Notamacropus eugenii: one gene and its partners. The protein of the gene in region 3 interacts with the protein of the main gene of each other region in a pairwise test. Links are inferred from orthologs where the notes say so. Each region holds a gene or a part of one and is shown on either strand. Other genes may lie near its edges.

Region 1 (6,528 bases), on a different chromosome or scaffold from region 3:
CTTTCAAGAGTTTGTAAAAGTGGCCACTGAGCATAAGGGGTCCCCTTGTTACAGCTCTTGAAAAAGATGAGCTCCAGTGACACACCCCTGGGCACAGTGGCCTTGCTCCAGGAAAAACAGAAAGCCCAGAAGACCCCGTACATCGTACTTAGTGGCAGCGGCAAGAGCATGAATGCGTGAGCAGGGGATGGGCCTTGGGACAGGGGAGGGAGAGGCACTTGTGTCTGTTTCCCTCCCTCATCTCTTGTCTCTTCTTTCCACAGAAACACCATCACAAAGTGAAGATGTCTCGTATCCTCAGTCCTTTAATATTAAATAAAGTTCCCTCCTTATTTTTTCCTCCCTTGTTTAAGTTATGATTCCATTTTCCTCCCTTGAGTCAGAGCTGGACAGAGAGTTGGGTGGTGGAACTAGGTATTGCCTGTCCTGGAGCCCATTCTGAAATGCCCCCAGTGGCTGGTTAGCACTGTAGCCAGCCCCCCACCCAAGTTTTTGGTCCCTCCTTTGCACCGGAGTGAGAAGTCAAAGTCGGAATTGCTTTACTAGGCACACTGGTACAAGTCAACCACAGCTCTCAACCCACCAGGGGTTTAATCTCTTACAGAGAAGAGTAGGAGTCCAGATGGGAGCCCTGCCTCATCCCCAGCCAGGGGGTGGATGCACAGAGCAAGCCCATTTCTGTCCATGGAGGTGGGGTCAAGGTATAGGACTAGGCTTCCGGCTGGAAAGGAAGCTGCAATCTCAGGCCTCTTCCTCACTCTCCTCCTCGCTCTCCTGGTACTGCACCCGATTGGTGTTGACAAAAAGGTCCGAGTCATCTGCAGAGCTGTCGTCTTCTGAAGACTGGGCTTCTCCTGGAAGTTCTGGCTGAGGCGGTCTGCAGGGAGGAGGATGAGTGAGAGAGGCTCCTGGAAGCCATACCCAGGACAGAAGCACTTCCAGATTCCAAGCCGAGGAAGCAGAAGTTGGAACAGCTCAGGATCCCCCCCAACCTGAGAAACATCAGTCCCATTTACACGTGAGACTGGGGCAAGCTAGCCCCAAGTAAGCAGCTGGGCATGGACAGCCTTGGGGCTGCCTCCCTAGTTAGCATTCGCAAGCAGCTGGACAGACAAGTCCACCCCAAAGAGGGTGCTGGCCTGCTAGCAGCCTGTGCTGGAGGGAGGAGAGGGGACAGCCGAGACACTCACCTGCTTCTGCTGTTTTGTTTCTCTGCCACCTCTGAGAAGGCTTCAGGCCTAAATAAGGGAAAGGATTTAGGGGGCGGAGAGGAGCCGGGCCAGGTGAGCCCTCCCCCCAGGACCCCGGGCCCTACCAGAGCCCCTCCTTCTGTAGGGAGCGGACGTGGTCCTTGCAGAGGACGAAGGAGATCTCGGCCTTCACCTTCTCGCCCTCCTCGATGGGGTCCACGATGAGAAAGTCTCCTGCAGGAGAGGCCGCGGGTGAGGCCTGGCAGCCGGGCAGGGCCGGGCCTCTGCCCCCGCCCCCTTACCTCTCTTGATCCAGATGTTCTTGCGGTACTTGGAGGGCATGCTGACCAGGAAGCGCTGCCCCTGCGCCGTCTCCACCTCGTGCAGGTTGTTGCCAGGGGTCCCCAAGACCTGCCCGGGGCGGAGGAGAGCGTGTTGGGGGAGGGGGTGCAGCGGCCGGGAGATCCCGGGAGGGGGGCGGGGGGCCGGGGCTCACCCTCACGATCTGCTGCTGGTCTGACGGCACCATGTGCTCCCCTAGCACCTCCTGCACCACGTGCTTCCGCTTGGTGGTCTGAGACATGCTGGTTCCGAGTCTGTGGAGGTCAGGACCCCCACAGGAGTCAGTGACCCGCCGGGGCGGGATCCCACTAGCTGGCTAGGGGTTTCTTGAGGGTCTCGGAGACCGGGTGCAGCCCGGGCTTAACCCGACGCCTCTGGGATGGTCGAGGGGGAGGTGACGGGGGTCTGGGTCCCGCGGGCCGGCCCCAGACACTGATGGGGGGAGGGGTGACGAGCCGTCTCCAGCCTCCGCCGGAAACCCTTGCTACCTAAGATCGGGAAACAGCCGGCGGGGCTGGGCCCCGCCGCCTCCACAGGGCCCTCTGCCACCATACCTTCCCGCTGGCCACTGCCGCAGCCTCCGCCGAGACCGCCAGCCCGAGCCGAGAACTTCCGGAGACCACGCTTCCGGTGCTCGCTTCGGGAGGGGGAGGGGGAAAAGAGGGCTCGGTGTTCCCGGCTAAATCTTCCCCTTGCTAGGCACCGCAGACCCCGGCACTTTAGTTCCGCCTCTGCCGCTGCCGGCCCCGTCTTGGGCTGAGTGGGGAGCCTCCGCAAGCGCCACGCGTGTAGTGAGCACCCTCCACTCCACGCCCCGCGCCGGGAGGAGTGCGGCCCCAGATCTGGCCATAGAGAAGAGAGAACAGAGCGGCGCCGTCTCCCTGGGAACCATCCTGAGGCACGCTTCCGCCGCAGACGCGCATGCGCCTGGTCCTCGCCTCCCTCCCTTCCCCTCCCCTCCCTTCCCCTCCCCTTTCCCCGGTTCCGCCTCATTGCCTTAGGCCCCGCCCCCCCTTCCCGCCTCCCTTCAAATTGCCCTTGACCCGGAAACGACTCTGACAACCTGGAAGCGGAAGCCGGCACGCGCCTTGCGGTATTGAGGCAGCGGCGGGAGAGGCCGGTTAAGTGGTAGTGTGACCGTTACAGAAGCCGGAGCCGGAGCCGGTGGGCGTGCGCGCGGCTTACGAGCGCCAGGGTCGTGGGCAGGGTTGGGGCGAGTCGGGGGAGACCCGGGCGGCTGTGATGACCCTTCCCCCCTCCCGCCGGGGAACGCGGGGAGGCAGACGCGGGGGCTGAGGGGGCGGGGCCCGCGAGGGGGCGGGGCCATGGGTTGGGGCTGGCGGCCACGTGCGGAGGGGGCGGGGCTTGCGCGGGCGCGGTGCCTGGAGCTCCCCTGGCTTGGGGCGGAGGCGAGCGTGTGCTTTCCCTGTGGTCCGCCCCAGGTCTGTGGTGAGGAGCCATGACGACCTCCCAAAAGCACCGGGACTTCGTGGCCGAGCCCATGGGGGAGAAGCCCGTGGGGAGCCTGGCGGGCATCGGAGAAGTGCTGGGCAAGAAGCTCGAGGACAAGGGCTTCGATAAGGTCCGGGGCCCTCGCGGGACCAGAGGGAAGACTGAGGCAGGGTGGGGATCGGCGCCGACCCCTGGCGTGGCTGTGGGGCCCCGGAGGAGGAAAGGAAGGGCGGGTGACCCCCGGGAGCCCCGGGCTGTGTGTGCCGGCCTGCGCATTCATTCCTGGGAGATGGGGGCGGATCCCGCGAGCACAGCTGGGCCCGGGGGCGCTATCAGCCCCTTAGAAGGGGAGGGGTGGGCGGTGACTCGGCCCCAGCTCGTTCCCAGGTGGCCTGCCCACAGCCTTCTGGCTCTGTGTCTCTTTCAGGCCTACGTGGTTCTGGGCCAGTTCCTGGTGCTGAAAAAAGACGAAGACCTCTTCCGAGAGTGGCTGAAAGACACCTGTGGGGCCAATGCCAAGCAGGCTCGGGATTGCTTTGGCTGCCTTCGAGAATGGTGTGACGCCTTCTTGTGAGCCCCGTGCCTGGGGGCCGGCCCCCCTTACCCCCTCCGATGGGTCTTCACAGTTAGCACCCCCAAGTGGGAAATCCTGCCCCTCTCTCCCTTCCCACCTCCCAACAGAAGGAAAGATTTTTGCTGCCGCCCCCACCTGGGACACCTTCCCCTCTCCACCACTATTTTGACTCAAGCCTCCCTGTCCACACCTCAGCATGCCTCCTGGTCCTGTAAATTTCAGTGGCGATAGTTATTAGCTTTCCTGGGTGGGTCTCTGGAGTGGCTTCCCTACCCCCTAACCCCCCACTTTTGATCTCTTTTATGCCATTTGGGTAACTTTGGTAGAGGGATGTTCACTGCCATTGTAAAGAGTTTTTTAAAACCAATAAAGTCATCAGCCTTGACATCTGTTCTTAGTTACGTGAACAGGAATTGGGACAAGGGGGAATGTTGGATCAGGAAGCAGCCACTTCCTTCAAGAACACCGCTCTTATCAGATACTAACCCAAACTGTAAACTCATCCCATGACTATCTTCAGGTCATTGGAGTAGGTGTCTTGGGACTTGGGCAAATATGTTGGTGTCCTAGCTCCTTAGTTATGTGGGGGAAAGGTTTTTTGTGACTTCCTCCTAGGGCTGAGGTTTCAGCTGCTGTGCCTGAGTGCCTCGGTATAGGCAGAGTAGTCTAGTGAGTATCAAAGAAGGGCATGTCACCAGAGGCTAGTATTGGGCCTGGTCCAGGATGTGGCTCATTGATCACCTGCTGAGGGGAGCCATCTGCCAGGTTGCAGGGACGGCTGATCGGGTTTCCTGTGTTGGGTTAGATGGGGGTGGAAGACCAGCTGTCCACCTTCGATTCCCAGGGATGCTTCTGGTGAAGCCTAGGAATGACTGCAGGGAGCAAGGAACACCATTCCTGTGTTAACCACAACATTCCAGGCACAAGAAAACACCTGGCTATTTGGGAGAGTACCCAGAGAGTGAACTAGCCCCGCTGCCTAGGAGGAGCCAGTGCAGGGAGAAGCTGGCGGTTGCAACAAGGGAAAAAACTGCTTTACATCATCTGCCCAAAGAAAGTGATAAATGTACTGTCTAGAGAGAAGTTTATGAACAAGTTTGATCTGTTATGGCGCCCCCTCCAGCCTCATCTCTCTTCACTGTGCTTAGGTGGCTTGGAAGCAAAGGTCCTGTGTTTAAATTCTATCTCTGTTGTGACCAGTATGTCTTTAAGCAATTCGCTCTCTGGACTACAGCTTCCTCATCCTCTGTCAATTAGGGTGTCTCCTTCCAGTGTACCTAGGATTCTATGATTGAGGAAAGAGGAGGTTGGTTTTTTATGTTCCATGGTGAGGGAGGAATGTCCCTGTGGTTAAATGAGGTCATCCTGACTCCCACCACCTCCAGGAAGCCTTCCCTGACTACTCCAGCCCACACTGAGTTTTCACCTTTCTGTAACCTACAACATATGCTTGCACCATAGTTTTTGTGTTTGTTAGACACTGCTCTATATTGTTCTCTGCTTCATGTGTGGTCGTGTTCCGTGACTATGTTAGAGGGATTGAGCAAAGTGTCAGGACTGATCCTTTCTTGAGGTTGCAAGCACAGGTGGCCAGACACATAGTAGGGGCCCAGGAGGCAAATATCTGTTTATCTTCCCAGTTACTGGCTGGAGTTAGGTTCATATGAGGCAAGAAGGAGCAATGACAGGTCATCTCTGTATTCTCTTGGTGGGATCCTGTGGCCATTTGTGATGTTGGCACCCCAGAGCATACCCTTGGAAAGGGTGAGACTGGCCAAAGGATGACAGAACAAAAGAGAGTCCTGGGGAGACTTGTGGCAATGGGTGAGCCAGCAGCTTGCTGTCCCATGCCCAAGGGGAAGGTGTTATCTGATGCTGAGCCTACAGAAATCCCAGGTAGGGCGTGCTCACTGGGAGGTGAGGATGGGGCAGGGCTCCATCACTGACACGGAGCACCCACTCTGCTCCCTTGCTTAGCCCAGCCTGACACTTTCATCGCCCCCTCCCACCCTGCTACCAGTTGCTGGCATACTTTTGACTGGTGCCATCTAGAACTCTGGGTGTAGCTGGACAAGGTCCCTTCTCTGTTGAACCTGGGGAGATTGACAGGGAGCTGACCAAACCACATCCCCCCATACCCTGAGTAAGTTACTAGAGCCCCAGATGGCAGGAATGTGGCCCTTGATTGTTGGGCCCAGTGAAAGGTGTAATACGTGTTGTGAGGGGCTCAGCAAGCCCTTCCCTGCTGATTCAGAACCTAGAACTTCCCCCTTTTCCTTTCCTGACAAGGTAACTTCACAAGACAATCAAAGCAGTGCTACTGCAAAGAGCAGTCATCAACAAAACCCTACAAAAATGCTGAAAAAACCCTAAAATCCAAATCATGGCTCTGAATAGATGCAGAAAAGAACACTGTTTACAGTGTGAGGCTAAAAGGACAGGGCAGAATTGGCCCGGGCGGGGAATGTGGGGGGTATGTCCTCCCCGTGTGGTGTTTTGTGGGGGGTCTGGCCTCCCCGTGTGGTGTTTTGTGGGGGGTATGTCCTCCCAGTGTGGTGTTTTGTGGGGGGGGTCTGACCTCCCCATGTGCTGTTTTGTGGAGGGTCTGGCCTCCCTGTGTGGTGTTTTGTGGGGGGTCTGACCTCCCTGTGTGCTGTTTTGTGGGGGGGTCTGACCTCCCCATGTGCTGTTTTGTGGGGGGTCTGACCTCCCCGTGTGATGCTTTTTTTTAGTTAAAGGGGCCATCCCTTGACCAACCACTTAAAGAAGTCTATTCATTGAATGGCTGTATCTCACTCAAAGTGAGAATGTGATAGGACCTTATCCTGAAAGGGCCAGGGTCTCCCATTGCCTCCTGGGCCATCTCCAGTCCTGATGACTCTGGAGGAGAAATGAGGCTGGTGACCTTGCACAGCCCTCCCTCACTCAAATCAAAATCAACTGCAGGTCATGTCATGTTGATGTCATGGT
Region 2 (8,004 bases), on a different chromosome or scaffold from region 3:
TCTAGCTCTTCAAATTATTTCGTACTTTACTCATCTATATTCATACTTTATCACACTCCATCCTACCCATAGTAGAATGTGAGCTCCTTGAAGGCAAAGACTTTCCTTTCCTTTGTCGCTTTATCCCCAGTGCCTATCATAATGTTTTATATTTCTTGAATTGAACAGCATTCTATCCAAAACAGACATGAATAATGTAGGGTCGTTAAGGAAAGGTGAAAAGCAAGGAGTTTGTCTTGTTTGACACTGAATGACATGACAAAAAGGCTGGCTAAAGAATAATTTAACAGCTTATCTACCAGTTCACTACTTCAACTACTGAAACACACAGCCTTTCTGTATTACAGTTGTTCTGTGTCCTTCCAAACCAGTCATTCTTTGAAACTGGAAGAGGCGGCAAACGGTAAACAGCAATGGCAATCTCACAGTAATTACTTAGTACACTTGTATACAACTGCTATTTTCCTTCCTGTCTAAATGTGTCTGATATGAAAATTACTTCCCCTTCAACTCAGAAAATGTAGCAAGTGTAATACTATAAGGTATTGTAGTATTCATATACAATTATAAAGTAACTCATTATATAGATATGATTTTTTTCAAATTCTAAGTATCTCCACACCGTATTCTAGGATCCTTATAAGAGTAATGCTCTAGGAGGCAGCTGGAGAATAGAGGGCTGGGTCTAGATTTAGGAAGATGTTAATTCATATCAGGTCTCACATACGCACTTATAGCTATGCGATTCATGTTGTTTGCTGAGGTTTTCTGAACGGCAATGTGGGGAATAATAATATTAACAACTACACAGCAGGGTCATTTTGTAAAAAGCACCTGGCACATAGCACTATGAAAATGTTTACTGCTTTCCCTTAAAATGTTCATGTTATTTCTATTGTTCGAGTGATTATTTTCAAGATTTAAACATTTTACACTTGCAAGAACAGAAAATAAGGATGCAGGCAAAAGTCACAAAAAGCCCTTAAATATTGTATGCCACAAACTTCTTCCTAACCTATCCTTGCGGCCAACCACTTAACCTGTATAATCTTTAAACCCAAATCATGTCATTTGCTAAAAATCTATGTTGTGCCTCAGAACCACGGCCAAACATTAGAAATAACTTTAATTTTTTAAAAGCTGAAGTGTAAGTGTCTGTAGTTGAATCAAATGATCCAGCTTATAAACTGCAACTCTTGCACGGTATACAAAGGGTCGACTCCTGGGGAGTTAACAATTAATCTGATAACATTCCTGAAATTTTCTAATCCTGACTTCTTGTACAAACAGGTGTAGCCTGGTCTGATATAGCTTAATGTTACTAAGGAAGGTAGTTGCATTACATCTCTCGGTTAAATTTTCCCCCCTTACGCTGTGACTGACTGCTTGCTCCCAGGTCACATAAAACTCTGCAGGTGGTAACAAGTAAGGGAGAGGAGGAACTAAGACAGACCTCCAGCTAACTCAACCACAGCCCTGCCCCAAGCCACTGGGAGATGCAGCCCAAGCCTGACAAGGCCTACACCCCCACCCGGCAAAATCCTCCCCAGCCCCAGAAGAGCCGGCAGTCCATGTAAGGAACGCTTTCTCAACAACCCGCAGCAGAACCCGTCGCTCCGCACCGGCCATCGGGGGTTGGACGGAGCCGAGCACCACCGCAGCCTAAGACTTCAGCGCGGCCGTTCCCGTCCCGTCCCCCCGACCCCCCTCCGCTTCCTCGGGGCTCAGAAGTATCAGAGACCGAGTTTCCACTGCGCATGGCGGAGAGGCAAACAGCATCCATTCCCCGCCTCCCCAGCCCCCCCTCCACCTCCCCGGCCTTCCAGGGGAAGACAAGCACCGGTAGGGAGGGAGGGAGGGAGGGAAGGAGGGACCAGGCCCGGGTGAGAATGTAGCAGAAACAAGCCCTGTCGGAGGAGCCGCAGCATTTCCTGCTCGAACCAGACCTTTCGATTGGAAACGGAAGGAGCCGGGGAACAGCTGGCATTGCAGCCCCAAAGCACCCGAGCGTTTCTCCTACGGAGCCCAGCGCCCGGAGGGGGCGGGGGAGAGCGACCAAGCTGGGGCTGGGGGCTGGGGGCGCTTCCTGGCCCCCTTCATTCATTTCTAAGCGCCGGCGTCCGCAGCCTTTCCCGTTTTGGAGGATGCTGAAGGCTACCCAAGGGGGTTAAGTGGGAGCCCGAAAGGAGTCCCGTTTCTGGGGATGGGGAGACTCCCGGGCAAAAGGAACCCCTTCCCCGCCCACCCCCAGTGGCCTGAGAATAAAGTTTGAAGGAGAAGGAGCAGGGAAGGTGACACCGCCTCGGGCCCCCGCCCCCCCAGCCTCCCTGGCTGGGCCCTGGAGGTGGGCAGCGCTCCCGGGACGGACCCTCCCTCCCCTCTCCCACTCTTTCCAGAGGGGGCGGCGAATGTCGGGAAACTGACCACACATTTCTTGCCGAGGAAGCCGAAGAGCGCCTCGTTCTCCTGCGGGGTGAGGAGCAGCGAGCCCACGTTGGTGACCCTCCTCGGCGGCGGCTGCTGCTGCGGCTGGCTGTTGCTCATGGTGGCGGGGGCCGGCGGGGCCGGGGCCGGGGCCGGAGCTGGGGCCGTGTCTTCCGCGTCCTCCTCCTCCGCCGCGGGGCGGCCGGGCGGCTGCGTGGGTCTCCCCCTTGCAGTGACAGGGGCGGGGAGAAGCGGAGTCAGAGCCGCAGCATCTCAGGGCTTCTGGGGGAGGGGGGGACGAGGAGGAGCCGGACGCGGGCGGGGGTTGGGGGGACCTCGCTTCGGGCTTGGTGGAGGAGAGAGGTTGCCGGCTGCCGATGCTCTGCTGTCCGCGTCCTCCGCGACTAGAGACGGCGCTAAACTCTGGACTCCTCCGGCTCCTCCGAGGCAGCAGCGACGGCGACGGCGGCGGCGGCGGCGGCTGCGGTGGGGGCCGCAGAATCCAACATGGCAGCGGGGGCGGGCGAGACCACAGGACACGGGAGGCGGGGGTGCGCGCCGGAAACTTGCGGCCGCCAGAGCCAGAACAACCTTTCTCCTCCTCCCCCCCTCCCCTCGTCCCAGTCCGCCCGCCCAGTCCCGCCCCACAGGCTCCGCCTCCTCGCCTGCAGATCCCGCCTCCCCTTCCGCCCGAGGTGGGAGTGCGGCCGGTGCGCACAACTAGCAGCCCGGCCGCCAGCTGCTCGTCAAGGTGACGATGTGCCCTCGGGCTCTCCTCCCTCTTGAGGTCGACCTGTTGGCCTGTGGAGGCCGCGGTCTCCAGTTAGGGTCCAGCCTCAACTGCTACAGCTTCTCGGGGACTAAAGGACCAGGCGTGGGTGGAGGGATGCGGGGAATCCCATCTCCCTCCTGCACCCCCTCACCTCTCCCCGTGCCCGAACCTCCCAGCAGGCCTTGGCCTCGCCTCCGGGAAATGGGGCTTGTTTGGGGGCTCGCCGACGGAACGCGCGCCCGCCTCGCCCCTTACACACCCAGCCCCCGCCCCGGGCAGCGTCACCCGAAAGTGCAGGTGTCCGAGCTCTTCTCTAGTTTTGTCCCAACTTCCGAGGGAGTGGAGGAGTCTAGCGGCAGGCCGCTCTCGGCCCCGGGGAATTGCGTGAAAGCGCCCGGCCTGGCTGCCTCGGCCCGCCCGGAGGGGCAGTGACGCCGTGCACCTGGTGGACTCCCCGCTTGTGCACGGACCTTCGCCGTGAGCCCCAGAAAGGACTCCTTCTCGGAGGCGGACTCGCCGCCCTCTTCCCACCCGGGAGAGGGGCCGAAGGCTCTCTTTATTTAGTTCCCTTAAGCAGACTCCTTTGGGGATGTTACCTGTAACATCCTTAACAACCATCAGGCGTCAGTGACTTTTCTGTGCCCGGCACATAGTAGGCACTTAAGAAATGTTTGTTGAATTAGTGTAGAAATAGTTGCCGAATGCTTTGAAATAAACCTCAACAATTTTTTAAAAATCGATGTCTTTTATTGTTGTGCAATGCTGAATGCTGATATCACCTGAATTATATTTGGTTCAAATCAATAAGCATTTATGAAATTTTTGCTAAGTGCCAGGCACTGCCCTAGACATAAACGACCCAAGGACAAAGAAAACCCAACTAATCCTTGCTCTCAAGAAACTCACATTCTGTTGAGGGAGACAACGTGCAAACAACTACATACAAACTGTAGAAACAGGAGAGAAAATCACAAAGAAAGCATGAGTAGCATGAGGGAGAGTAGGAAAGGCTTCTGAGAGGATGGGACTTTAACTTGGGCTTGAAGGAAGTCGGATATGAGAAAGAACTTTTTTAGTTGTGGAGGACACAGTAAAATGCATGAAACTGGAGTGTCTTCCAAGTATGAAAAATTAGCAAGGTAGTCAGTGTCGCTAGATCTGAGAGTATGATGAGGGGAGTAAGGTGTAAGAAGACTGGAAAATTAGGAAGGGGACAAATTAGGGCTCTAAAAGCCAAACAGATTTTATATTTGATCCTGGAGGAAATAGGGAGCCAATGGAGTTTATTGAATAGGGGAATGTGACATGGTCAGATGTACTAAGGTTTAGGAAGACTAGCTGATTGGCATTGGGAGAGACTTGAGGAAGGTAGACAGATTAGAAGTTTCAATAAATAAAATTGTTGTATTGGAATATAATAAAGATCTATTACATATATAAATACCGAGATTGGTTCTCTGCTGCCTTTTTCATCCATTGTAAATCTTTGTATGTTTATATGTACTTAATGTACCCCCATAATCAAGTACAGCACCTGGATCAGTACATTCTTAATAAATAATGATTGATTGGTTGTTATATCTCCATTGCCTTAAAATTCTATCACCTAAAACTCTCCCCCAAGAACCTGGTGTTTGGAGGCAGCTAGGTAATACAGCAGATACCTCACTAGCTCTAGAGTCAGGAAGACCAAGAATTCAGATAATTTACTACCTATGTGATCATGGGCAAGTCAAAATCTCTGCCAGTTGCCTCATCTGTAAAAATGGGAATAATAATAGCACTTACCTCATAGTGTTACTGTGTGGATAAAATTAGATGATGTTTGTAAAGTGCTTTGCATACTTAAAGCTCTACATAGAAGCTAGCTGTTATTATTCTGCACCAATGATGAGAATGGGCACATGAAATTATGGGTAGTATAGATAAGCTATTGCCCAGTTTCAGGATGAGGTGTTTTAGCTGTTCATCGTAAAACAAATACAGTTTAAACCCCCCATCAGTTTATTCTCTACCAACAGACCTGGAACTATACATCAAGTAGCAAAACCTTTATTTGGCACAAAATAGCAAAGTCAATAAGCAGGAAACATCCCCTTTTATACAAAAAGAGAGTCTTCTGCAGATTGACATATTGATGCAAGAGATCACACTTTCCTCTAGCCACCATCCCGTAGAGCCGCTTCTACCCTGAACATCTCATGATCTTTGATCTTGAAATTATATCACAGCAGGTAACTCCCTGTGGTAGGAGCCTCATCTGCTCCAAGTAGGCTAAGCTATTAGATTTCCTCTAAAGAGCAAAAAGTATCTTCAAGATTTAATGGTCTTGAAGACTAATGCTTGAATCTTTGATATAGTTTCCTAGTAACCTATGTAAAAAAGCCCAGTAAAGGAGAGCCCTCAGGTATATATCATGGTGGCAAATGGGGAGGCATGGAAGCTGCATCTAAATATATCAGTGTTGTAAGGATCCTGAAAACTCTTTCAATGCTATTAAGTAAATTCCTTTTTGTTAAATGTTATACAGTCTACAAGTGTCTTATATTCCAATATTCCAATCCTGAGCTGTTACCACTAAGTAGGCCTGAGCAAAACCTGATCCACCTCTCAGAAAGCATCTGTATTTCCCTGATGCTGGCTATATGTCACTGCTACTCCACTATACTTTAAAAGCTGTGCATCCTCTCTCTTTCCAAAGCTACCCAGAAGAACTGCTGTTATAATCTGTTGGAGTATGCTGGTAAATTTTTAGCAGTAGTTCTAAAAAAAAAAAAAAGTACAACATGCTTTTAAATTTAATTTGCATTATTAACATTTTCTTAAATCTTGAACAATTAATCAAGCCCTGATTTGTAGCATTTGCCAATTTCTGAGGCATCCCCCCCAAATACACAACCAGGTTCTCATTAGCCTTTTCAACTGTCTCCTGCACACCCCTGTTTTGCTGTGCTGTTTCTCTGAGCTTCTGCAGCCATGGAATTCTAAGGCTTCTTCCTCAAAGAAAGTAATATAACTTTCTCTTATGAAACTACTAACGCCTTGAGCTAATCAACACATTTCAGATCTTTTGTTAATCAGGGTCACATCTACATCTGGCCTAGTCAAACTGGCAGCAAAATCCTTCATCTCAAGATGTTTCTTTCCCAACCAACTTGCACTGTCCTCCCCTGAGGAATTCCCCCAGCTATTTATTGATACCTTTGATAATTAGGTCAGGAAGAGTCAATGCATTCATGGCCTTCAATTCCTGCAGTCTAGTACCAGAACTATGAAAATTGTCCAGAAGTTTTGATTAAGCTTTAAGTAGGTACTTAACTTATTATAACCTTTATCTTAATGATTGCATTAACTCAACATCTACATTACATTTGCTACATTTGTAGCAAATGCTACAAATCAGGGCTTGACTAATTGTTCAAGATTTAAGAAAACGTTAATAATGCAAATTAAATTTAAAAGCATGTTGTACTTTTTTTTTTTAGAACTACTGCTAAAAACTTACCAGCACACTCCAACAGATTACAACAGCTGTTCTTCTGGGTAATAGTTTGGCTTAGTTAGCTAGAACATAGAACATGTGAAGGGTAACCGTATGACATCAGACTGAAAAGGTAAATTTTGCCCAAAACATTGAATGCCAGGAATAGAAATTTATTCTATATTCATTAAGCAGTAGGAATCCTGAAGATTTAAAGTAGGCACAATCAGTGCTTTAGGATGATTATTGGGTCACTGCCATGGGAGATTGCATGGAGACTGGAGAAGTACAAAAGATGATTAGGAGACTTTTTTAATAGTTCAGGTGAATGGTTGGTGATGAAACCTGGAACAAAGCTCATTGCCTTTGGAATGAGAGAAAGGGTCAGATGTGGGAGATACTGTAGAAGTAGGGATTCTTAACGTTTCTTTTTTTTTGTCACAAACGGACCCCTTGGGCAGCCCGTCAAAACCTATGAATCTCTTCTCAGAATAATATTTCAAAATGTATAAATTAAAATACAAAAGATGACAAAGGAAGTCAATTATATTAAAATACAGTTAGCAAAATATTACAAAAAAAAATTTAACAGACCTTAGATTAAGAATCCCTGTTGTAGAGATAGATTTGATAGGCAATGCATGCGCAGGAGGAGAAAGAGGGAAAACTCAAAGCAGTAGAGCAGTAATTGCATAATGCAATTAAATCTAGAGAGGCAGTGATAGAAAATAGAATTTTGGAATTAGAGGAAGATCTTTGAGATCTTCTAATTCATCCCTTCCTCCTATTTTACAGAAAAGAATAGAAATATCCAGTAGACGTTATGTAATTTGTCTAAGGTTATATCAGGTTACATCAGTGGCAAAATCAGTACTAGCCCAGGACTAATTCCACAACTACTACCTCTGCCCCTTGGATAACTTAGCTAGCAAAATATACTCAAAGACTTTTGCCTCATTACAAAATTGGGGTTTCTATATGTTGACAGCACAGATATGGACATCAGAAAGTCTCAGAAATTCTTAGGAAAGGATAAGTTAATTAATTTAAATTCTTTGCATTTTTTAAAATTTGTCCTCCCTTTGTTATTCATCTTGATGTTTACTTGAGCTTTTCCACAACTCTTCTTTTACTAAGTGATAACAGATTAATTCAGATTTGCATTTTCACTAGTACTAACTAAAAGTGCTTTGCATGGAATAGGTGCTGAATAAGTAATTTTTGAATGGATGAATGAATGAATGAGTCACTAGGCCCTTTAAAACTGATAATGTAACCCAATACTTTTTAGCTTTTGTTTTATCTTGCCTGGACCCTGGGTTCTAAG
Region 3 (8,145 bases):
CATAGGGATTGTATTGGTTTGTTTTACTTGACTGTTTCTATGTTACGATCAGGTGGGGAGCTATATATATGGAGGAATTCATGGGAAGCAGCTGTGGCAAAATGAACACAAAAAATCACAAAAAATTCAAAACATTTTAAAAGTAATTAAATGAACCTCCCTACCTATCAATCCGAGAGACCTTCCTCGGATAGTTTCCCTTTTGTAACATGTCTTCCCATTTGCATTTATCTGACTCACTGTTATTTTTAATATTTATGTTCTAGGTTTTGATTCCTCTGACATTCATTTAAACCAGATTTTACCTTTACAAACATGCCAAGAATAGAAGACAGACCCACTCCTTTCTTGGGATATTCTCTCTCCACTTACCTAGAATTAAACTGGTTTACCCCTGACACCTAACAAATGATCCACTGGCCTAAAAGCAACCATCAGAAAAAATATTTCCAGAAATATCCAACAAATCTTAAATGTCAGCATATATTCACGTGATAAAAACATCATTATGAAAGCTTTGTGCGACCTTGGAACAAAAGATATACTAAAGGGGGAGGATAGGAGGGAATAATGACCTTCCTTCTTGGAACAAGTGATGAGAAAGAATAGGATCATATTGCTGGAAATAACCTCAGAAAATATCTAGTTCAATCCTTTCCTTTCATAAATGTGGGAAAGTAAATCACAGGCAGGTTAATTGGCTTGCCCCCAGTCACATAGGTACTATGTGACAGTCTTCTGACCCCAAAGCCAAAGGTTCTCCTACCATACTCAAAAAACATTTTCCTATTCATTTGTCTATAACTTTGAAAAAATAAATACTTCCTAAAGGGCAATAGAAAACTATGATATACATATAATTGAATTAATGTTCCATAAAGGTAATTTTTTAAAAAACAAATTCCATGTTCCACATATCTAAACTAGACTATGAAAAGACAATAGAGTATAGTAGAAATAGTGCTAGACTTTGCAGTGCTAGTAGTTATTAGCTCTGTGATCAGGGCAAATCACTTCATCTCCATTTCCTCATCTGTTTTCTCATCCAGCTCACTAGTGATCTTCGTTAAGTCAAGAGACTTAACCTACTTCTCTGTATCTGTCTCATCTGTAAAATGAAGGGGTTGTATCAGGATGAGCTCTAAAGTTCAAGATCAAGATCTCTGGTCCTGTTCATTTCAGACTCTTGTTCCAAGAGGTAAGTTCATATATTCATGTCTCAATTAATATTCCCTTTGAGTATTTCTTTTGCTTCAACCTAGCACCCAAATGATATTCATGTTTTTCTTAAGCATACTCTTTAAGATGGACAAAACAGAAAAACCTTAGTGAGAATGTAAAGAGCTTTGCAAACTCTAGATCACAAGAGAAATGGCAGCTATTTGTGTTTACAGATAAAGAAAACTGAGGCCCAGAGAAATGACTTAAATTGACTTTCTTATGGTTACATAGTGCCAAAGGATAAAAATAGATTTCACCTACCTAATTCTGTCAAAAATCTGGAGGATAAGTCAACTCTAAGGAGATAGTTTATTAACTACAGTAACTATCTACTATTATTAGATTTTTCCCATTCTGGTTGGGGAGTACGGTATACTACCATTCCTACCAGTATCTTGGAAAAAAAAAAGACCAGAAATTAACAGCCAAAATCTAGTTTAGGTTACAATTTTATGGTTACCGAATAATCTTTATGAAAAGCTTGATGAATTTTTTAAAATTTTTATACTGCTTACTTTTGTACTATTTAGCTCAAATGTCTTGTAGGGCTACCAGGCTCTCTAAGAGTTCATTGGTGATAACCAACAAACTATGAAGTTACAATTTTTATCTTTCTACATTTTTAGTCCCAAGCTAGGATGAGAAAAAAAATGAAACGACTAGACAACTAAGATCTTCTCTACATCTTCTGCATATAGCGTAACAGGAAACCCTAAACCCAGTGGGTAGGGCTACTACCCAATCTTTATAAAATATACTTGAGGCAGAACTGCAGCCTATAAAAAGACATGTCAAATGAACTAACACTGTATTAAGTGCCTATTATGTGCCAGAAACTGTGCTAATAACTACCATGAGTGGTCATTCATTTAAAACTTTTCCCTTTATAAGTCACTAGTATTCTTTTCCCTCAACTAGAGGCCAGCCGCAGATATTAATAGAAATTACAATTTGGCACAAAATACGCCCCAGAAACATAGACTTTTGAAATAGCCTTGGAATTTCCTGTCAAAACTCTGTCATTTCGGTTGAAATGAAAAGCCCGTGTTGTAAGAGTCCCCTCTACACTTCAATCAGCATTTATTAAGCGCCTGCTAAAGACTGTCAACAACCACTCTCGGCTCTCGGCCCCCGGCCCTCCGGGTCAGGAAGGCAGGCTCCGGGGCCCAGGGCCGAGGGCTCTGGGCTGTCCGCGCCCACACCCGGCAGTGCCCTCCACCGGATCCACCTTCTCCCAAGTCAAGGTCTGTGCGGCGAGCCAAGGCTTGGGTCATCTCCACGTCCCCAGCCGAAGCTGCGCCCACGGAACCAACAAGCCCCCCACCCCCTCCAGGCCCCAGGCGCCCCACCAAGAGGCGGGGAGCGAGCCCGCAGCCCGGCTTCTTTGGGGTGCTTCTCCCCCGTTCCTGAGCCTCTCGCAGGTAACGGGGGTTCGGGAGGAGGTGCCCCGAGGCCCACGCCCTTCCCCCCCTTGGTTCTGCCCCGGGGGCGGCGGCTTTCCGCGCCCCCCCCCCCAAGCCCGAGCCCCGGGCGGGGGCCCATTCGGATCGCGGCTCCTGGGGGGGGGGGCGGATGAAGCCCCAGCGCAGCTTCCGCCCCGCCCCGGGGGTTCACAGCCCCAAGGGGTGAGTCCTACGGCTTCCCATCCTCGCCCCCAAACCCACCGAGCCCGGGACGGGGGGGTCACCTTGCCATTCCGCCCCCCCTAAAGCCTGCCGCCCACCTGAGCGTCGTCCGCTGTCTCCTCCAACGGGTCTCAACTGCTTTTCCCAGCAACGGTTTTCCCGATCCTCAGGGAAGGGAGAAGTCCGGGAACCGAGCAATCAGTCAGCGGGGGAGTTACGTCACCCACCCTAAGCCCCGCCCCCCGCCTGCGCAGACCACTCTCCGACATCCAGGTCAGGTGACACTCTCCTCGGTCACTCTCCCCCGCCCTCGGGGTTGCCAAGACAACCTTGGGGCGGGGCTAAGCCTGAGAGGCTGGGAGAGGGGGAAGGGGATGTGGTTTGGCATAGAGCCACTGTCCCCTCTGCTCGTTTCGCTGGCTCGCGTCCTTCAGCCCCTGCAGGAGGCGGAAAACCATCCGCGACCCCCTGGGGACGGAGACTCCCCGCTTTCCGCTTTCTCCATCCTTACCTTGGAGGCGCCCGGCACACAGCGGGCGCGTCATGAATGTTGATTGATCCGACCACTGACCTCCCAACTAAACTCGCCCCCTCCGCAGGAAGCGCTCCCGACGCCCCGGATTCCGGAATCTCCTGTCTCTGCCCTGACCACCTCTCTCCGGCTTCCTCCTGCAGGAAGCCTTCCTGAACCCCCTTTATCCCGGTGCTTTCTTCCTCTTAGTTAGGTCTCCTTGGTCCTGGCTGTGGTGTGCCTTGTCCACGTTCGTCTCCCCGTAAGCTCCTTGAGGGTGAGGGCCGTCCTTTGCCTTTGTGTACCCAGCTCTCAGCACAGTGCCTTGGCTTAAGGAAGGCTCCCGAACCGAATTCATCAAGATGTCTGAGTACACCCCCCTTCCCCCACTTACTGTCTTCTTATTGCCCGGATCCCCAGAGCCCCTCTGTAATAGGGGACCCAAGTCTGAGTACTAATCATTAATTAGCTGCTAAATGCAAATTGCGGCTGTATGTTAAGCAACTTATAATTTTATTATAGGTAAAATATGAATGTAGCAAAGGAGTTGGTCAAGGAACCCCAGGACAATTGACTTCTGCCTCTGCTCCCCATCTACTTGGAGACTTTAGAATGTAAGGAGGAAGTGATGGCTTGGAAGGCGTGAAAGGGCACAGCCTTGTCAGGCACTTGGCTGCTGGTAGTGAGGTGCCCTCTTCAGACTCTGAACAGCCCATTTGTACAGGGAACTAGGTTAAAGTTTGGGAAAGATAAGCGTGCCCTTTCCTCTGCATAACAATAAGAGTAACGAGAATAGGAGCTAGCATCTGTGTAGTCCTTTTAGGGTTACAAAGCACTTCCTACTCATCTGATTCTCCCAACCCTTTATGTAAAGTAAGTGCTGTTATATTCCCACTTTTCAGGTGAGGAAAATGAGGCTGAGAAAAGGTAAGTGATTCGCCCAAGGTTATGTAGTCTACTCTTTGACTTGGGCAAACAGGAAGGACCTGAGGCGCAAGAGCCAAGCCTGCTGTCTAGCAAACAGATGGATCAAGAACAAAAGAGAGTTGGTTATGGAGAAAGCACTCAGCTTTTGAGATTTTCATTCTTTACATTTTCCCTTGTACATCTTGGAGAGTGCCACAAAGAAAGGAAAGAATCACCCCCACCCACGTGGTTGACAATGGCATCTTGAAGTAGAAGCACTTAGCAGTGTCAGGAAGTATAGGGTCCATGGTAGTCAACAACAGGAGTTATATGGCAGCTGGAGACAGGATCCTACTTAGGAGATGGCTTCAGTGAATCTTACAGTATGGATTCCAGTTCTGCCCCAAACTGCATACCTGTACTTTAGTCCACGATTACGGCTGAGTCCAAAGGCAGAGACAGTGGAGACTACAGCAAAATATCAGATCTATTGAGTATCACCCAAAGCTTAAGGGGCCCAGAAGGGAAACTCATCCAAAAAGTGATACTGTGCTCCTGGAGGGACAACAACTCCAGGAAGTTCTGAGAAGACACTGGAAATCTGTAGCACCAGAAGTATTGATTGCATTGGTCACTTGGGTTCCCTATTTGTGTTCCATTCTATTTGTAAAGTTTATGCACTGATGCAGTATATATTTATGGGAGAGTATGCCCCAGCTTGTGGAGGACATTTTATTGCTACTGTACTTAGCTATGTGAGCTGGGGCAATTCCTTTATTATCTGCTCATTGTGTGCTCTAGGTAGCTAAGAAGAAGAATACTTCAGGAGAGGCTTATAAGGCATAAAGCTACTAGTGAGGACCCTTAAAATGTTGTACTTGGGGTAGTTATTCCTCAGTGATCTCAGCTCGCGATTGCTATTTGAGGGAGCAGACCAGAGGAAGTACTATACTATGAGGGCTCTACCAGTATAAATTTTGAATATTTTATGAATATGTAGAAACCTACTGAGAAGATTTTTTTTTTATTTCTACCATCACTGAAAGTGCTTAAAACACAAAAGACTCGCAAGTACACATCAACAAATGCAGAAACATAAAATAATATCCTGTCTCTTACATTACTCTCTTCCCAGAGGTAAAGACAATTTTGTGAAACTGCTGAAACCCACATTCTGTTTGCATATCAAACCTGCACGGTATGAGCTGCTTACAACAAATTTCCTGGCCATCCAAGGTATAGCTTGGGTTTTTTATGCATTTCTGTAGTAGTGGTACTTCTTGGTAGTGGTACTTCTTCTCTTCTGAGATGTAACGATGGTAATCACCTCCCAGTGGTCAGCTATCACTCAGCTGAATAATTCTCAGCATTTTTACTTCATGAGTTTATAGCAAGGGCTAGAAATGTCCATATCTCAGGTTTAGTGATATATTTTATGCTCAGGGGAAAAACAAAAAGTAAAAAGTAGTTAAGGACTCAGGCTCACATAGGCAAACACCATGTTGTTGTTGCCATATGATAGCAGTCATCATTGCCGTTGGGCTAGGACGAAGATAGAACTTCTTCACCTTCCCCTTGCTGGCAATCCAAGAGAGGGCAAGCACTGGAAGATTCCCATATCCATAAAAGATCATGAGTTATTTCTTCTCAGTTCCTCTTAAAATCCACCAAATATACAACTCCTCCTGCTCCTGACAATCGACTTTCACTCAATCCCCATCATTGGTGACCAATCAAGTGTTGCTACAGTTTCTCAATTAAGCTTATGTCCTTCAGAAACAGGCTAGAGTACATGGCCACAGAAAAGAAACAGAGCACCTGCCTAGCTCTACAGGTAGTACCCTAGTCTAACCGATCAAAGGGTTTCCCTCTTCACACTCATTACATGAATAATTCTCATAAACATTTGCAATGTTTGTGGGCTTTTGAACATGCCTGGCTTGTCTGACATGAAGCTCATGGAGCTCATGGGGTCCCCTGCCACATAAGTGGGGTAGCCTCCTCTGGCTCTCTATTTCTCTCCCTCTGTGTCTCCCTCTGTGTCTCTCTTTGTCTGTCTGTCTGTCTCTCTCTTTGTCTCTCTCTGTCTCTCTCTCTGTGTATCTCTGTCTCTGTCTCTCCCTCTCTCTCTTTCTTTCTCTCTGTCTGTCTGTCTATCTGTCTCTCTCTCTGTCTCTCTGTCTCGCTCTGTCTCTCTTCCTCTCTCTCTGTCTCTCTGTCTCTCTCTCTGTCTCTCTCCCTCTCTCTCTCTGTCTCTTTGTCTCTCTCTGTCTCTGTCTCTCTCTGTCTCTCTCTGTCCTCTCTCTCTTACTCCTCCCTCTCCCATCTTTTGTCTATGCTCCTAGCTGCTACTCCTAGCCTGGATGTTTGCCCCTACACTTCCTCTTTTACTCTGGCTCTAAGACATGGATCTAAGGGTGTTTGTTTCTCTTCTCTGTTGTTTGTCTCTAGTTTCAGGTGCTAGAAGTGATCCCCAGAGGACCAGGAGTTCAAGCCATAACCACCTTGGAGCCAGGATTGCAGGTAGGATAGTGCAACTGTACACTACACCCCCCCACTCCAGTAAAGGGAAGCCACAGAACCCAGGGTACCTTGGACTGGAGCCCAAGTGAAGCGTTTGGACATTGACCTGAGACTTTGTTCTAAGGGAACTGGATCCAAACTATAAACCTAATCACCTTCCTGTCCCCAGAGACTGAGGTAGTATGGAGGGAGGAGGAATTATGCATCTCCATGATGGGAGAGGCAGAGAGTATGTATGTTAGTGAAGTAAATATTCCTCTTTATAAAAGCTCCACTGTGTTACACATTTATTTACAGTTTTGAGAATTAAGATTTTCATTTTTTTATTTGCAAAGTACCTGAAATACTAATTCTATAACACAATTTTGACTGTTGTTCTGTAGGTTTCTGTCTTCATTTGAATAAACTACTAAAAAGTTAATTATTTGCGGGTCATTTGATCTGTAAGATTATGTAACTCCTTCCTTCTTTTAATGCCAGCCACATGACAAATCAACCACAGTCTCTCCGCATGATAACAATGTCTTAAAAAATTATTTTTCTCTATGTGCAATTTCATATAGCATTATGAACAATTCCTTGTAAGACAGCAAAACCACTACTCAGCTGACTAGCATGCAACATACTTATTTCCACATATACGAACTGTTTCTCACTTTAGATGATGAGTAATTTACTGAAAAGTTGCATACAAAGCATTTTTTTTAAAAACTGAGTGTATAGTCTAAATGGACAAGTAGTAAATTTTTAAAAAGAAATTCTGAGATAAATAATTCTGTGAAATCAAGGGTATGTGAAAAAACACATTTGGATTATGGTATTGATAAAATATAGGCTGGATTTACCTCCCCCTGAAAATGTTGCCTTTAGAAAATTGAGGTGTAGCCTTCTATAATCAGTTATTTCAAAATATATATCATTTGTATGTGTATACATACATACATATGCATACATAAGGAATAGCATTTTTCAGCTGTGATCTTGTAATGCCAATGAGAGTTAAAGATCTTCCCCACCCATTGATGGGCCTGCCCATTAAGAGAAACTTGATTAGGGGAGACCCACACCTTTCCTTAATTTATAAAGAGGCACTGGTTCTCAAGGGTTGTGATGCCCTCTGACTCTGAAAAGTTTATAAATACTCTGAAGTGAGGTTTAACTTTGGGGCTTACTTATTGGAAGTGTTTGGCCAGATGAGACTCTGGGCAACCACTAGGGAGTCCCCCCCACTTTGAAAACCCAGATGTTGGTGCTTCTCTCTGGTAACTATGTAAGTATGCTCAGACAGCTGGATCTGTCTGTTAATCTGTGACGTCTGTATTGCTTACAGTCAGATAGTTGGAAGCCCTGTCTATTGAT
Region 4 (7,756 bases), on a different chromosome or scaffold from region 3:
ATTCTCTGGTCCAATTTTATACTTTTGGTTTTTTTGAGAGGGGAGGAAGTGGAAATGGAAATCATATTTCATTAAATCTATTTTTATTCTATCAGGTGGTTCACCAGAGTAGCACAAATAGGGGGTTTTGGTTGTTTTGTTTTCTTTCAATAGAGTTCCACCTTGCCCCAAAGCCATTTCTATACCTTGGGCAAAAGAACTTATCACCCAACATTTCCAACATAAAATAAGAATATGACAATACAAAGGCATAACCAAACAACACTGTATCTCAAAAACAAATCCCTAAAAAATTTAACTGAAATAGCCTAGTTATTCAAGAGAATTTTTTAAGGCACTTGTTCAATTACAACTTGTTTTTTTAGGCAATTTCATTTAAAAAACCCCAAACAAAAAGCTTCTAAAAACCAACCTTGCCCTTGGAGAACAGCTGAGAAAATGAATCTCCCTTTATTTTTATCAAAGATATGGGTGCAACTTCATCTACCACTGGTTGTAGCTATAATTGTGAAAACCAATTATATGAACCTTTATCCACTCTTTTTTAAATCCTTTGTTCAAATAATAAAGACCTTTCAAAGACAGACTGTACCTGTAAAAGACTAATTCCAACTTCATTTCAGATAAATGGAGGCTCATCATAACATGACCAAACTCGTACAGCTAGTTAGTGGCTGAGCTGTAACTACAACTTTCTTCTCATCTGCCTCTCAATCCCGCGCTCTTTATTTGTACAACACTGCCTCCCCACGGAATATGTTAATTCCTAACCTTTCCTTCACAGTAAAATACTTCACAAGGAAAAATGTACATGTAACTCTTTTAGTAAATCAAGACCTAAAACTTTCTTTTATTCTTCCAATGTGATACTAGATCTAAAATCTGGTCACATGTCATGCAAACTTCTGTTATAAGCTTTGATTATAACGGCTACACAGAAGAACTATAATCAAGGATTATGTTCTTAAATCTTTTTTTACCTATGACGGAGGTCAACAATCACTAGAAGGAGTAAAATAATGTAAATACTAAATGTTTTTCCACTGCCTTATCTGGAAATGTGGGAGGCTGGCCTCTTTGAACTCTTAAGATCTTTTAAGGTGGCAAAGAAATGTAAAGGATGCGAAAAGGTTGAGCACAATATGCCAGCAACGTACGCACAGCACCTTTCTTTGCTCATTTCTTCCCTTAGCCTGCTATCACAACATTGAAATGCTGCCTCTACCCACCCTACTGTAAAGTGCATCTAGATCTAGGTCTGTGGCCAGTCGCTCACGCTCACAGCAATGTTTAACCTGAATTCTCTTCATTATATGCACTCAGGATGCTGTAAGGATACAAAAATGACCCTCCAGTATTCACATAGTCAGAACTACAGGTCACTTCAAATTTTCCTCTCTTACTAACCATTCTTAACAAGTACACCCAGATTATCAGGTTCCTGCGGAGGATGTTTTGATAAAAGACTTCCTATTGTAACAGTGTAGTCCATGTAATCACAAATGTTTGGGAATCCTTGCCCTCCTCCACTATTTTCTGTGCTAATCTGGTAGAACAAAGGATCCTTTTATTAGCGTCCATAACACGCAGCTGGAAGGCACAGCGGGCACTGCGGGTCCTGAAATCAGGATAATGGGAGTTCAAATTCTGTCTCCGACATCCACTACGTGATCGTCACTTCACCTGCTTCCTACCTGTAAAACGGGACTAACAGCGCCTACCTGCCCTCAATTATAACACATGTGAATCACTTTACAAGCGCTGAGGCGCTACGTAAGTACTAGAGGGCATTCAGCAGAGATGTGCTACCCTGTGCCTAAAAACTAACAGTATGACTTCCCGTGAAGGATTTTCTGGCCCCATTTCCTCTACTGTATTTTACCCTAATTAAAAATTAGAATTGTCCATTTTCAGCTACCATTTTCAAACAGTAAGCTAACCCAAGAACCGTCATGTCGGTCATCTGAGGTCTGGACCATCTCCTGTACACTTTGGACGTGTCCGGCTGCCTGGCGGCGGTCTCTGAAGGAGACTCGGGCAAGCGCTCGGAGGGCCGGCACTCTCACAAACCCTCATCCCTGACCCGTCTAACTTCTCCTCTGGGCCATCCACACCGCGAGCCTGCAGGGCCATACCTACCTCCCAGCCAAGCTTCACTAACTATGACTGTAACCTGCAGATAGAAAGCGGTCAGTCAGCTACGTTAGGGTTAATTATGCTCCCCACAAACGCAATTTAGGGCCAACACTGCCAAAGCCACCTTTTCTGTCGTGGAGGAGAGAAAAAAGAGTGAACGTTAGTATTCTGCAGCCGCCACGGGGACTGGGTGCATGGACGGCACACCACCGGCCAGACGGGTTGGGATCGTTCTCCACGCACACTCGCGACGGCCGCTCGCCGCCCCCCCCAGAACGGAAGGGGCCCGGATGGCGCTGAGCATCTCCAGGGAAACCCGCCCCCTTCCCGATCTTTAATTAGGGACCAGAGCATTGAGTAAGGATCGGCGTCACCACGAGCTCACCCCCCCCCGCCCACATCTCGCGGGCTCCGCCGGGGCCGTGGGCCGTTACCCCAGGGGGAGGGGAGACGGAGGCGGGCGCCGTTACACAGCGGCACATGCTCGCGGGGCCTGCGGAACTATGTCCACCCACCATGGAGTCGAGGCCCATTCGAAGCCTTTCCCCCCAACCCTCAGACTCAAGCCGCGCCAGGAAGTCCGTCTGGGCCGCGCTATTATCATGGAGGGACGCGCTCTGCGCCTCTCCCCCACGTTCCCTTCCCCCGCCCTGCCTTCCCCCAAGGGTCTCAGGGTCTCCCCCGGCTTGACTGTCACCACTCACCCGGTGGGGAGAGGGAGAAAGGGGTGGATTCTGAATCTCCGCCTCCCCGATCCGACAGCGGCAAAGAAACGGACTCCCGCTCCCGCAAGCCTCTTCCACCGCTACTATTACTTCTCCGTCCCCGTCTCCGTCTCCTCACAAAATGGCCCCCGCGTCTCGTCCACCGACACCGCGAAAACCGAGACCTCCGCCCCACTCCTAGAGGCCTTTCTATTGGCTAATGCTGCTCTCCGTCCCTACTCCCGATTAGACCGTTCGACTGCCAGTCACAGCTCTGTCCAATAGGAATCATGGGTAGGTTAGTCAGAATGGCAGTGAGTCCGCACCAGAGGGAGAAACTGGCCTTTCATTGGCTGTAGATGTTGTCATTTGAACTCAAGAAGGTGCTCATTGGTCAACGGAGGAAACGAAGAGGCAACAGAGAGACTCGCCTTTGTATCCGCGCAGGACTTCACATCCGGGTACCACCAGTTTTACAAGCGAGCTCTGATTGGAGGTCGCGGAAGCTCCTCCTGACCCCTTCCCCCTCAGCGCGCGAGTTCGAAGGCCCGCCCCGTTCTCCGAATTCCCGCGGCGCTAACAGACGCCCACGAGAAGCAGGGCCCGAGCTTTTCCCTTTCATTCCCCCTCCCCCGCGCCTCGCGTTGCACCACGTGCGCACGCCTCCCCACCGATGCCCAACCCGAGGTGGCGGGAAGAACCAGAGGGCCGCGTGTGTACGAAGAAGGCCTGGCTGGGGAAGGCCTTCTCCTGTCACCACCGCCACGAGCGCCCCCCGCAGCTCCCCACTCTGCCTTTAACCTGCCATTTCACAGCTGCCGAAGTAATAACATTGCCAGTGCGTCCGCTCAGGGCCCTCCCCCGCATGCCCCTGGTCTCCACGAGGAATCCCAGACGAGGATCCGAGGCCTTTGCCCCGGCCGTACCTCCCTCTGACGTGCCTTCTTGGACCACCCCACCCGCAGGGGCGAGGTGCCAGCACCCCGACTACGGCCCACCCTTCTCCAAAGTTACTGTGCTGAGATACCCAGAGGTTCTGCATGTGATTGGGGGCAGCACTCAAATTATCAATGCCCTCAGGGCAAAGGTCGGGCCTTCTAGACCTTAGCCTGAATGGGCCAGGGTCTCCCGGTGCATCCTGGGCCATCTCCAGTCATCCAGATGGCTCGGGAGGAGAAGCGAGGCTGGTGACTGCACAGCCCTCCCCCACCCAGATCCAAGTCAAGGGCGAGTGATGTCATCCTCTCCCTGCCGTCATCCTCTCCTGCCGTCATCCTCTCCCTGACGTCATCCTCTCCCTGCCGTCATCCTCTCCCTGCCGTCATCCTCTCCCTGACATCATCCTCTCCTGACGTCATCCTCTCCCTGACGTCATCCTCTCCCTGACGTCATCCTCTCCCTGACGTCAGGTGCGTACCACGGGGCACCAGAAGTGCTAGAAGAATCTTGTTAAGAAAAAAACGCGCACACCCCAGGACAAATGTGGGGGGCCGAATAACGTGTTTTCTGTTTTCCGTGAAGCCTCGCTCAGCGCTTGGCCCTGAAGGGCCCCAAGACTGCTTTGTATTCACCTGGGTTCGTCCAAGGACCATCAGTTGTCTCCAGGTGGAGTCTTCTGCCCCTCTCCAAGACCAGCACGGGATCACCTGGCTGCTGAGGTGTGGAGGATGAATGGGGGCACTCCCGCTGATCAAAGCACAGATACCTGGATGTGTGGAAGTCCTTCATGGAAACTGCCACCTTCACACTGATGTCACAGCCAGTGGATGTTTGCTGAGAGCCGCTCTGCGCTCTGTTCTGAGCAGTGGGGATACAAAAGAAGGCAGAAGACGGCTGGTGCTCATGGGAACAACTGTGTACTCACAGGATACAAGCCAAAGAAGTTGGAAATCATCAACACTGGGAGAGCACTAGAGTGAAGGAGGATCAGGAAAGAGTTCTTGCAGAAAGTAGCATTTTAGCTGGGACTTGAAGGAAGCCAGGGAAACCAGGAGGCACCAGGAGGAAGGAAGGAAGTCATCTGAAGCATGGGGAGTTGGCAGATGGCATTTCTTCTGATTAATAAGAAAAGCAGCTAACATGTATGTAGCGCTTACCGGGTACTGTACAAAGCGCTTTACAGATCCTTACAACAACCCCAGGAGTAGGTGCTATTTCCCATTTTACAGAGGGGTAAACTGAGGCAGACAAAGGCTAAGTGACTTGCCCAGGGTCACGTAGCTCATAATATGTGAGGTCTGATTTGAACTCAAGAGTCTTCCTGACTCCAGCTGCATCTATCCGCTGCATCATTTAGCTAGCTATGAAGAATAAAAAATATATGGAAAAGTTTATGAAATAACATCAAGTAAATAGACAAAGCCAGAAGAATGAAAATACCACTTGCTACAACTGTGTAAGAGAAAAAAAAAGAGACTAAATGGACAAAGAATCCTGATTGAATATAGAGCATCCGATTAAAGGGTTAGGACATTTTATAGGTTAAAATTAAAGTAAATATGAACTGTTACCCAGTGTGTTTAATCAGTTATGTTGATATTGAATATCAAGGTTGTAACAAAGGTTTTTATAAAGAAAACTGCCACCTTTATAGAAAATGAAAGAAAAATGTTTTCATAGGATTATAGAAAATTCTTTAGCAATTATTTGATAGAATTGATTATTGATTGTGTTCTAGATACTATAAGGAATCCTAAAGGAAATACCGTAAAAGAGAAGAGTCCTGCCTTCAGTTCAACAAACATTTGTTAAATGTTCATAAAACCGTGGACTTAGACCTGGAAGGAATCTTAAAAGATCATCTAGTTCAATCTCCTCATTTAACATATAAGGAAATTGAGACCAGAGAGATTAAGTAACTTGATGAGGTCACATGGGAAATAAATGTCGGGGTCAACATTCGAACTCAAGTCCTACAGCTCCAAGTTCATTGATTTTTTCATTGTACTTTGCTGCCTATTAATTGTATGGTACTATGCTAGGTGTTAGGAATTCAAGAATGACAACACAAAATCCTGTTCTCAGTGACTGAATAATCTACCATAGTAGTTGGAATAAGATATGTACACAGATAGCTATAATATACATTAGAATATGATTAAGTGTGTAAGAGAGAGGGAAGGATGACTTCCAGCCATTGTAATGAGGGAAACCTCAGAAGAGAAGGTAACACCTGAGCTGGGCTTTGAAGAAGTAGCATTTTTACATCAGAGATATAGAGGGAATCTAGAGCTAGCTATTCTGGCACTCAGGACAAGCAGCAAGAAAAGTTTACTTACATCAATTTGGCAATTAATGTAAAAATAATGAGACGAAAAATTCATTTGTGACGGGAAATTATAACTCATTACAAGGTTCACGTTAATGATACGGTAGCTTATTTTAACTAGTCTTACCAAGTAGAAGTTCAGTCATTTCTACGCTGGTAAAAGTGTACAAGGCTATCAACATGGAAGAAAATTTTAAATTGTATAATCTTTTAAGTTTGTCTTTTTAATATTTTTGTGCCCTCTAAATCAGGGGTTCTGAGTGGAAAGATTTATTGGATTTTTTTTCAATTTTATTTCAATTGTATTTCAATCAGTATTGATCAGGGTGATTCTACAGGGACAATGATTATAAGCAATTATTAAGGATATACTTATCTACTAATAAACATATAGTCAGTTTACCCAACTAATATTAGTATAAGAATAACATATTAATGCATATTTTACAATATAAGGATAAGTAGATAAGATAGATTTTTCTTTTCTGTATAGTAGGCCTCAAACTTTAAAACCTATAAATTCCCTGGTCACTACTTACTTACTAGTTTTAAAATTCGCTTGCATAAGAATGAGGGTATCTGCACCCTGTTTTGTTCAGTTACTGTGACCAAACCGCATGGGTGGGATGCTTTGGCTTGATATAGAAAGTCCTCCAGTTTATTTTTGTACCTGTGGACCACCCTCTCTTGCCCAATGTGAGGAGGAACCCATCTTACGATCACCTAGTAGAAACTATATTAGTTATGTTGTGAACGCAGTTATTGAAATTTTAAAAATAGATTCATAGAACCTATGCTTAGAGCCCTTGTTTTAAATATTGATCACCAGGAACACAGCCCCAGCTTCCTACCCTAGTTACAGCTTTGAGGGAGTCCATGCTAATAAGCTATAGAGCTTGAATATCTAAATACCACACAATGACAAAACTACATACCACTGCCATTTCATGATATAATTATTGAAAAGTCTCCATTAATGACTGTCTTGCAAAGTAGGAAGCTGTGCACACTTTCACAAACCTTGGGCAAGACATTTTATTTCCCTGGGTCTCAGTTTCCTCAATTGTCAAATGAGAGAATTTTACTGTATGGCCTCTGAGAGCCCTTCCAACTCCAAATTCCGATAACTTCACACAATTTACTTAGCTAGTGTCACGTATTCATTATTAGACGGAGCTATGCAAACAAAACCAATTCCTCTCAATTGAAGATTTTCCTCTAGAGAAGTTAAAAAGCAGTTTTCCATAGCTGTTTTTTATAGACCTAATTAAAAGGATTTCTGCTCTTTGGATTTTTCCTCCTCTGCATTCACCCTCTACTCTTTTTTTCCAACATCTATTGAATTTACCTCATACTTTTCTTTGGGCGAGGGGAAAGCTGGATACCTGTCATAGACTTTCACACTGTATTTTGGACGATTAGAGGAAGGGATTGCAAAAATCTCCCTTTCCCAGAGCAGAGGAGACCTGAAAACAAGGTCAGACGGAATGTGGGAGTCTTCGAAGTTTAAATGCATAAACTAAAATACATAGGCTAACTCCACCCTGAAACTTTCTGTCTGGGTGCTACGGAGGGAATCGGGAGATTAATGAGTAACAAAATTCAACAAAATCTCACCAGGAAAGGAGTAGAAAATAGAACCTGTTTG

Evidence for each region.
Region 1: the proteins of SDCBP (region 3) and EIF1AD interact in binary tests that used the Homo sapiens proteins (3 or more experiments, as listed by UniProt). The two-hybrid records come from large-scale screens. The link is inferred for Notamacropus eugenii from reciprocal best matches to the Homo sapiens genes SDCBP and EIF1AD.
Region 2: the proteins of SDCBP (region 3) and WASL interact in binary tests that used the Homo sapiens proteins (3 or more experiments, as listed by UniProt). The two-hybrid records come from large-scale screens. The link is inferred for Notamacropus eugenii from reciprocal best matches to the Homo sapiens genes SDCBP and WASL.
Region 4: the proteins of SDCBP (region 3) and HNRNPC interact in binary tests that used the Homo sapiens proteins (3 or more experiments, as listed by UniProt). The two-hybrid records come from large-scale screens. The link is inferred for Notamacropus eugenii from reciprocal best matches to the Homo sapiens genes SDCBP and HNRNPC.

What each region holds. Positions count from the first base shown.
Region 1 is NC_092873.1:18,668,663-18,675,190, forward strand, and holds EIF1AD (probable RNA-binding protein EIF1AD), read right to left. Parts: upstream 2,223-6,528; 5' UTR 2,087-2,222; intron 1,787-2,086; 5' UTR 1,774-1,786; coding exon 1,687-1,773; intron 1,602-1,686; coding exon 1,493-1,601; intron 1,425-1,492; coding exon 1,316-1,424; intron 1,239-1,315; coding exon 1,191-1,238; intron 878-1,190; coding exon 742-877; 3' UTR 523-741; downstream 1-522. Other genes in the region: SART1 (U4/U6.U5 tri-snRNP-associated protein 1), read left to right, coding at 55-176, 264-282; BANF1 (barrier-to-autointegration factor), read left to right, coding at 2,992-3,114, 3,412-3,558.
Region 2 is NC_092874.1:127,331,731-127,339,734, reverse strand, and holds the start of WASL (actin nucleation-promoting factor WASL), read right to left. Parts: upstream 3,013-8,004; 5' UTR 2,545-3,012; coding exon 2,425-2,544; intron 1-2,424. UniProt on the Homo sapiens protein: Regulates actin polymerization by stimulating the actin-nucleating activity of the Arp2/3 complex. Involved in various processes, such as mitosis and cytokinesis, via its role in the regulation of actin polymerization.
Region 3 is NC_092875.1:277,130,358-277,138,502, reverse strand, and holds the start of SDCBP (syntenin-1), read right to left. Parts: upstream 3,169-8,145; 5' UTR 2,945-3,168; intron 1-2,944. UniProt on the Homo sapiens protein: Multifunctional adapter protein involved in diverse array of functions including trafficking of transmembrane proteins, neuro and immunomodulation, exosome biogenesis, and tumorigenesis.
Region 4 is NC_092878.1:12,639,365-12,647,120, reverse strand, and holds the start of HNRNPC (heterogeneous nuclear ribonucleoproteins C1/C2), read right to left. Parts: upstream 3,102-7,756; 5' UTR 2,841-3,101; intron 1-2,840. UniProt on the Homo sapiens protein: Binds pre-mRNA and nucleates the assembly of 40S hnRNP particles. Interacts with poly-U tracts in the 3'-UTR or 5'-UTR of mRNA and modulates the stability and the level of translation of bound mRNA molecules. Single HNRNPC tetramers bind 230-240 nucleotides.